Coturnix japonica: one gene and its partner. The protein of the gene in region 1 interacts with the protein of each later gene in a biochemical or structural test. Links are inferred from orthologs where the notes say so. Each region holds a gene or a part of one and is shown in the gene's direction. Other genes may lie near its edges.

Region 1 (4,571 bases):
GGAGTAGTTTGGATTTAAGTGGTGGTGTCCAGTAAATATTCAGTAGAAGCCCAAATGCTTTATTCTGTACATGTGGAGAGCTGGGGTCTGAAACAAGGCTGAGTCTTGGACTTGTTTTTATTCCTTGGCCAACAACTCCTGAACCTCAGATTCATGTTTTAATTGTTGGCCTTTTTTCTCTGATTCAGCTCAGAAAAACAACAGGAAGGAAGGAGAGGAGAGGAGAGGAGAGGAGAGGAGAGGAGAGGAGAGGAGAGAGAGAAGGAGAGGAGAGGAGAGGGGAAGGAGAAGGAGAGGAGAGGAGAGGAGAGGAGAGGAGAGGAGAGGAGAGGAGAGGAGAGGAGAAAGGTCAATTTAAAAAACATGAGAAATGAGGGAAGGAAAAAAACATAGACTTTAATACAGCTTGGATGACAAGCAGTGTATAAAACAGATTTGGCTTTGCTTGATGGGTCCAAAATCTTTATCTGAGCCCTTCGCTTTAATTATCCCGAGAACTTCTCTCAAAGCAGAGACATTCCTGATGACAATTTCTCTGACTTGATCTTACAGATCAGAAGGGGGAAATCCTACAAACCTCCTGTGCCATCTCTTCTGGAGCATCACAGTTGTGATGCCTAATCTAAACCTCATGGTGTAAAGCCCTTATGCTGCTTGCTCTTGCCATTGCAAATAAAGAGGTTAATTTCTTTTGTACTCTCTATGGACTTTCAGAGGGCTCATGTGCCACTCAAGCTATGTTCCTGCTTGTTCATGGCTGTCTAGCGTAAACATGGAGACTCATGCTCCACTGGAGGTTCCTGTAAAGCTGCTGTTGTCATTTTACATCCTTTTCTTATACTCTAAATGTTTAGTTCTTAGTGATTATTTGTTCACTGAACTCTTATGGGAGCTCAAGGTAACCTCTCTTGATTCCTGACTCTCTCAAGGTAACCTCTCTTGATTCCTGTCTCCTTTTGAGCCTGGTGGCATTCCTCTTATAACTTGGAAACCTGTCAGAGCTCACAAGGAGATGGAGCACATCTGCCCAAGTCCTCTATCAGCACCAGGCAGAAACGACCTGCTTCCTTCGTACCTGGTTGTTCATTATTTAGTGACCTTATTTCGGTCTTACTAGTGGTGACCTCCTCAGTGGGAACCAAAGCCAGAAGACGGAATGCTTCTATGGGCTCAGTGCTGCTCGAATCTAGCCCTCCCCTGGCCGTTTTCTCTGTTGACCTTGTAATCGCGGATCTCTTGTTATTGCCTGCTAGCTCTATCTTGTTTGGTCTTCGTTCCTTCTGCCTGCTCCCACTTCCCACACATCCCCCTTGCTTTCGCTAATCCCTCTAGCTTCCCTTCTCACTACAAACACCTTATCTCTGGGACACCGCGTACAAACTCATCCCGTTATTCATATTCATGCTTTAAAACCGCTCTGCTTTTGCCCGAACGGCTCCTTCATCAGGGTTCGGGGTTCAAAAACCGAGAAACCGCCGCTGGCCGCCACCGGCCGCGGGGCTGAGGCGGCTCCAACCACCGGCCCGAGCGGACCCGGCGCGGGGCGGAGGCGGGCCTGCACTTCCCCGCCCCGCGCCCCGCTCGGCCCGCGTCGGTCCCTGCTGGGTCAGCCCGGCTCTGGTGGAGTCTCCACGGCGACTCGAGACCGCTTGGGTTACCAGGGCGGCGGCACGGGTGGTTGCGGCCCCGGCCTCCAACTGGCCGCGGCCAACAGCCGCCGCCGCGCCCATAGGCCGCCGCCTATATAGGGAGCGGCGGGTGGCAGCAGCGAGCGGCTCTGCGTTGGGAGGGGGTAGCGTAGCTGAATCCATCGCCACGTCCGAGGCAGGTGCGGGGCTCCGTAGGCAGGTACGTTTTGTTAAGTGTTTTTAATTAATTAATTTATTTTTTTAAGTGCTGTTATTTTTTTTTCCTCTCGTCCGGAAGGTGCCGAAGTCGCGGTGATGCGCCGCACGGGGGAGATGAGCCAAGCGGGGCGGAGGGAGCCTCTCCCCGCTGCGCCCCGAGGCGGGCGGACCGTGCTGGGGGTACTGGTGGAGAACGGGCAGCAGCGGCCCAGCGCCCAGGTGAGACCCGGAAAGCCCCAGTGAGCCGTGGGACCGGGGTGGGCTTCGTGGTCGGCCTGGGGAATGCCGTGCCGGCTGCGTTTACTGGGAGTAAGGGGAATTAGCGAGGCTTTCCCAAGCCCTCTCTCTCTGGTCCCTAATTGGGGATGGCTGGTGTGGCAGGGAGAAAGCAGCTGTGCTGGCTTACAGGACATCACCCAGCTGTGTGTGCCTGTGGAATGCTTGGTTTTGGTGGTGTGAAGCCCATAGCTCAGTCAGTAGATGGTCGATGATGGGGAGAATTGTAACCTGAAATCTTATGGATTGTGGTGTTTAAGTTCAGAAGTTCAAAGTTTGCTTTGTAACTGAACTTATTTTGGCCCATAATGTCCTTTGTTAAGCCTGTGATGGTGCCTGAATGCTTCCTTTCATCGCCATGACGTGCTGTAGCACCTTCTCCTTGCTAGAAGTGAATATGGAGCAGACCCTGCACATGCCAGCAGGTTGGAGTCAGGCAGTGTCCTTGCCTTACTCTGTGGGAGTGAGGCTGTGCTCCTGGTTTCTGGCTTGCACTGCCCATCGCCTCCTGTAAGGTCTCTGTTGCAGAAGCAAGCAGTATTTCTTAAGTAACAACTGTAGCTGCTGGCTTTCCCAGCAAACTTGTAATTATTTGTCCGTTAACCAAGGAAAGTGATATACCTTCTCTAAAACAAATGATACTGCTGTTTTCTTCTTGAATTACCTTGCCACAGCCTTATTGTGTACTCTGTTTCAGAATACTGCTATTACCAGACACTTATCTGGCTCTGAGAATGCCTTCCCTCCAGCTGGAAAAGATGAAATATCCAACTGTGTGGTCAGTACTACATCAAAACAGGACTTTGCTATTTACACTGATGAACCAGAAGAGAAAGAAAACTTCAGCTGCCAAGAGGATGAAGAACTGGAGTCAAGCCTGTGTGAACTGGATACTAGTGCAATGACATCCAGCATTCACCTACTGTTGGATCTGAGTACAGGTAACTCCTGTTAATGTTCACATGGTATCACAGGTACTTGCAATGTGGTTATGAATCATGCTGGCAGTGAGCTAGTGAGTAGCCTATCTTCAAATAGTTACCACTTCATGATAACTTTAATTGAGTCAGTGTGATGCGCAACACTTCTATGCTAGAAATGGACAGAGGTAGTGAAGAGACTAATCAACTAAATGCCTTCCTGGCTTCTCTTTCCTGTTAGCATCTCCCATGCTTGTGGACACATCCTTCCGGTCCCGGCCTGAGGATCAGATGGGAGATCCTATAACTCTAATGACTGTGGGAGAGTATGCAGAAGACATTCATCAGTACCTCAGAGAAGCTGAAGTGAGTATATTTTAACAAATGTAAAGCTGTGTAGGATCTTCCTTAAAGGCTGCAATACTGCAAAGCCATATGGCTGTCACACACTAACTCTAGGCTGTCACTGAACAAACAGTTAAAGCCATTACTGGAGCTTAGTTCTTAGAAATCTTCTAGACAGTGATGATGTTTTTCAGGCATTACTCCACATTCTGAAGATGGGATGTGAGTAGATTATTGCAAAATACTAACGCATGTGACTTCAACGGCTGTTCTGTTTCTTAAATTGTCTTTCTAAACAGGTGAAATACAGGCCCAAGCCCTACTACATGAGGAAGCAACCAGATATCACAACAGAAATGCGTGCCATCTTAGTAGACTGGCTGGTGGAAGTAGGGGAAGAATATAAACTTCGAACAGAGACACTGTACTTGGCAGTGAACTACCTGGACAGGTTTCTCTCTTGTATGTCTGTTCTCAGAGGGAAGCTGCAGCTTGTAGGAACAGCGGCAATTCTTCTGGCAGCGTGAGTGTTTATCTCATGAAATCTTAGTGAGATGAACTTATTTTTGGACTTTTAGTTTAATTTGAAGGACTTTAAGCTTGTGGTGGTAGGTAGGTTTTCATGCTGTCCTAAGATGGTGCCCCATCCCTGGAGGCTTTCAAGGTAAGGCTGGATCAGGCCCTGGGCAACCTGTGTTTGTCTCTGCTTATTGCAGGGACTTGAACCAGATGATCTTTAAAGGTTCCTTCTAAGTGTAAGGATTCTAGGGTTCTGTCATTAGCCACTTAACATACTTTAACTCTTGCAAAACTAAGAATTTAATATTCTTTATTAAGGAACTGTAGAGGGAGAACCTTGTAATCATAATACCAGAAGCAAAAACAGTGCTGTATTAAGCCACTAGCCCATAGTAGGTTAAAAGTTGCAATCTGCAATTAAACTTAAACTGCTTTAAATAGGCAGGGTATCCAGCAAAGCCTAAGGGTGCATGGATTTTTGTCTAGAGTGCATGATGTTACTGACATTTTTTCCTTAAGAGTTTTCTTATTCGTCAAGAGTGCTAGTATGAGTGTATGACTATTTAGGCTGATGACTTAGAGAACATCTTTGCCTTCCCACCAATCTGATAATCAAGCCTCTCCTATACTAGGGAAATCTTAAAATAAGACCTCTAAGCCTGTC
Region 2 (4,363 bases), on another chromosome or scaffold:
TATCACCCAGCTGGGCCTCAGGGAGCAGAGCCACGTCCCTCCTGGGCCAGCATAAAGGGAGCACCACAGGGGTGCCCAGCAGCGACGTGTCCAGCTTGGAGCACCCCAGCAAGCTCACATCGAGGGGCAGGCTGGCATCCAGAGGGGGCTTGATGTCTGAGATCTCCCACCTGGATGCTGGGGGCTTCCCAGGGGACAGCAGGTCACTCAGCAGCTCCGTGCTATGGGACAGCGCTCTCTCTTTGAGGCGCTTCCCAGCTTTGCACGGTGTGGAGGTGTTCCTTGATGTTACATCCAGCAAGGAGCCGGGCCCTGCAGGCAGCTCACAGGGCACAGCTGACAGGTTGAGGATGGCAGGGCTGGAAGGGCTCCTGCAGAAGGAGAGGAAGCTGAGGTCCGAGGAGCCCAGGCCAGCCCTCACTCCACTGCCCATGGGCTGTGCCACCATACACACAGGGCTGCCCCTCGTGGTGTCCACATCTGCCAGCAGCTCCCAGGTACTCTGCTTTGGGGCACTACTGGAGTCCAGGTAGTAGCTGTACACAGGAGAGAAGTGGGTATGTCCAGAGGCCCCAGCCACAAATCCATTGTCCAGCAGGTCCTTAATGGTCAGGGTGCTGTGCTGCTGCGAGGACGGCATGGCGCAGGGCTGGAGGAACCAGGAGTCCCTGTTGGAACACGCAGTTTAAGGGCAGCCCTTCAGATCCAGGCAGGGCACCCTCCCCACCCCATCTCCTAACAGGACACAGGGCCCAAACCACAGCACCAAGGAATGATTTTTCAGGCCCCTTGCTGAGCACGGGGCAAGGCAGCACTCCTAGGTTTGTGCTCACTCAACCTACATAGCACTGCTCTTAGCTTTGTGTATGAGGGGCCTCGAAGCATCTCTGCTGCAGGGGACACTGAGGTGGCCATCAGAAAGGCTTTATCTCCATTCCTGAGGTCAGGAGAGCATTTATCCCAGGTAGAGCCAGGCTACATCCCAATAGGGGTAGCATAGAGACCTTACAAACATAGCTATACCAGGGTGACCTGGGGACACTACAGCATCCTAAATTACATCATACCTAAATAACATAATATCTATATCACATCACATTGGAGCGTCAAGAGTCACAGCAGAAAGCTCCCTAGGTTACTTAGGACAGTTATATGATCATCCCAAAGGGAAACATCCTTAAATGAAACCTTAAATAGCATCTAAACAGAGAAAAACCTAGGCAATAAGACGAGCACTACTTGCCTTTAGCTCCTACAGAGGCTTCTTTCAGGATCGCAGCCCTTCCTTTAACTAGCGCTGCTCGGAGCGCTTTTATAGTGCTGGGGATTAATTAACGGGCTAATTCTCTCATTAAAATCACTTGGGAGGGGGGAGGGCTGCAAGTTAGTTGGGTTAATTCTGTTAGTCCGGCATTAAGGCGGTGGAGGCTCATTCTGGTGCTGTCCCGCTCTGTGGTGGCCGCACTCAGGCGGGAGGGCGCCCTCCCGCGCGCGCGTCTTTGTGCGGTGCTGACTTAGTGCGCATGCGCGGCCCGGCCCCGCGCGGGGTGGGGGGCAGCCGTTGGCGCGAGATAGGAAAGTGCCGCCGCCGCCGCCCGGCCCCGCCGCCATGGCGCGCCGCAACCGAGGGTGAGTGGAGCCCCCCGGGGTGCGGATGGTTCCGTGTCTTCTCAATGGGGGGGAGGCTGTGGTCTATGGGGTCTTGCGGTTTCGGTGTCCCTGAGCGGTGTGGATGGATGGGGTAGCAGAGCCTGGCCCGCCGCCCGCCTCTTCGTGATGCCTTCAGGCTGGGCCCGGTGGCTGAGAGCGGTCCCGGCCCTGTGGGAGCCTCGCTGTGCGCTGCTTTGGTGCCCTCTGTACCCCAGCAGTAACGAATAGGGCTGGGGAGCTGTATGGAGGGGGATGGAGCGGGGCCTGGGCTCACGGAGCCCTCACTGATGGGCTGGAACCGAAGGATTGTCCTTTCTCTGTGTTAATGTGGGGTTGACCCGCACGCAGAGGGGTCCTGGAGGTCAGGGCCCTGCAGGCCGGGTGTGTGGGGGGAGTGCTGTGCTTTGCCCAGGGGAGGCAATAACGCTCTGCTTGTTGCTCTGCAGTGAGGATCAGGATGAGCTACACTGCCAGGACACCGACTCGGATGTGCCCGAGCAGCGGGATGGCAGGTGCAAGGTCAAGTGGACGCAGGAGGAGGTGAGTGAGGGCCGGGCAGCCACTGCTCATAGGGCTATTGGTAGAGTTTGGGTAGGCCTTCAGTGTGAGCACCTTATCCTGCTCCTTGCCTGCTGCCACAACACCCACTCACAGTGTCTCATTGCTGGGGAAGGCCCTTTGTCTGTTTTGCTGAGGCCTTGATGAGAGGAAGGTCAGGTGAGTTTGAAGCCTGGGGAGCAAAGAGCTCTGACTACTTCAGCACCTGGGCCTACAGCAAGCTATCAGCTGCCTGCAGCAGTTGCTAGAGGGTGGCAGAGGCCTGGAGCTGATTCATGCAGTGCACATGCCCTCTTCTGAAGTCAATGTGGACAGGGCTGGGACCTTTAGGATTGTGGCAAAGAGCCTGAAATGAGTTGGCGTTTTTTCTGCATTTCTTCTGGTCCCTTCATAGTCTTTTTATTTTGTGAAAAACTACAAAACATTTCATTTTCCTTGAGCTCTGAATATGGAGTAAGAGTGGCCTTTGGGCAGAGATCAAAATCTTGGGCTTGTGTTGGGCAGGGAGTTGTTTCTTACCTTTGTTTGCCCACCCACAAGATCTTTCATTTCCTTGCCCTCAGGCAAGGAAGCCCTGTAGTGTAGGGTTTGTGAGAGAAGTGCTGTAGAACTATCAGTGTAGAAAGGCAGCGGGCTGCCTGGTTAGTGGTGATGTACTTAAAACAGTTGGTCTCTTTGGCCAGGCAAAGGCAGTATGAGAGCTGGGAGATAGGCTGCCTGGTCAGGGACATACTGGGGCTGGATAAGCAGGTAGCTCTGGCTGCATAGTTTGAACTAAACTCAGTGTGGGCCTGTATGTGACCACAGCAACTGGGTTTGTATTGTACTCTGCTCTCATCATGCACACACCAGGAACTTGCCCTAGTACAGAGCTCTGAGCCAAATGTGTTCCCACTGGCTTCTGTGCACTGGGACACTGATAAAGAACTTAAGTATCCTCTTCCTTGTAATGCAGACATAAAAAGCTCAACGATTAATAAATATCTGAATATCTAACATATCTTGATGTTGTTGCTTTCAGAGTGATGACTGTGACATATTTTGCTCAGTGTATGTGAAAGTGGATGTCTTTGTTCCTTGCAGGATGAGCAGCTGAAGATGTTAGTAAGACATTATGGACAGAATGACTGGAAGTTCCTGGCCAGTCACTTTCCTGTAAGTGCCCCTTTGCCTGGTTGGGAATTGTAGTGTTGTTTGCATGCTGTTTCTTGTGCTCAGGGCACTGGCTGTCTCCATGCAACACCTTGTATGATGGCACTTTGTTCTGTGGCTGCTACTGTTGAACAAATTTAGTGTTCCTCTAGGGCAGGATGACACATCCTTCTTGCTTAGAGGGTGTGAGTTTATTGGGAGCTGGAGTGAGACATTGGGGTTCCTGTCCTTGTATCTATACCCAGTACCCTGTACTATATCCATAGCATGCATTCTCTGTGCATCTGTAGTTTTTCCATGTTGCAGACTGTGTGTGTGAGGACTGCTGTGTTTCTACAGGGGTTTTTGGAGCCTCCAGTCTAATGTATATCTGCTCTGATTCCTTTCCCCAGAACCGCAGTGACCAGCAGTGTCAGTACCGGTGGCTGAGGGTGTTGAATCCAGACTTGGTTAAGGGCCCTTGGACCAAAGAGGAGGACCAAAAGGTAAGTCAGGCAAGGACAGGGTCTGAGCGTTGGACTTTGACTCTCTGTCAACAAAGTGGAGGTGTCAGACCTAGACAGCTTTCTATCTGTGTTACATCAAACACTTCCTGAGGAAGCTTATAACAATGCCCTTCTACCTTCTTACAGCAGAGCAGTTGCTGCCTATTTTCCCCTCTTTATGTCCTGTTCTGCCAGCCAACCTAGTCCTGATGCCCACTGCCATCATGGCCAAGCCAGACTCCAGCTTTTTGAAGCTGGATAGTTTTGCACTGCAAACAATCCAGATCCTTGAACGTGGGTATCTGTGGCCCATTTGTCTGCCCTAGGCAGTCAGTCTGCAATAGGAGTGTTAGTTATGGACCCTGTGAGCAAGATCTGTGGTGCACCTGCTACCTGCACCTTTCAGCTAAGCACTGCTGGAGAGGGTAAAAGTGCTCTTTTGGAGTCATCTGGCCTCCTCTCTGAGATATTGGCAGGATAAACACTGCGAGCAGCATGTTATGTTACATTGCTTTGTT

The links.
Region 2: the proteins of CCNA1 (region 1) and MYBL2 form a complex in vitro, tested with the Homo sapiens proteins (2 studies listed by BioGRID, with this or other methods). The link is inferred for Coturnix japonica from reciprocal best matches to the Homo sapiens genes CCNA1 and MYBL2.

Annotation. Positions count from the first base shown.
Region 1 is NC_029516.1:154,345,432-154,350,002, reverse strand, and holds the start of CCNA1 (cyclin-A1), read left to right. Parts: upstream 1-1,644; 5' UTR 1,645-1,828; exon of another isoform or gene 1,829-1,848; intron 1,849-1,926; 5' UTR 1,927-1,943; coding exon 1,944-2,066; intron 2,067-2,820; coding exon 2,821-3,064; intron 3,065-3,284; coding exon 3,285-3,409; intron 3,410-3,687; coding exon 3,688-3,911; intron 3,912-4,571. UniProt on the Homo sapiens protein: May be involved in the control of the cell cycle at the G1/S (start) and G2/M (mitosis) transitions. May primarily function in the control of the germline meiotic cell cycle and additionally in the control of mitotic cell cycle in some somatic cells.
Region 2 is NC_029535.1:3,104,874-3,109,236, reverse strand, and holds the start of MYBL2 (myb-related protein B), read left to right. Parts: upstream 1-1,498; 5' UTR 1,499-1,609; coding exon 1,610-1,629; intron 1,630-2,096; coding exon 2,097-2,190; intron 2,191-3,291; coding exon 3,292-3,363; intron 3,364-3,752; coding exon 3,753-3,845; intron 3,846-4,363. Other genes in the region: uncharacterized protein LOC107322882, read right to left, coding at 1-640. UniProt on the Homo sapiens protein: Transcription factor involved in the regulation of cell survival, proliferation, and differentiation. Transactivates the expression of the CLU gene.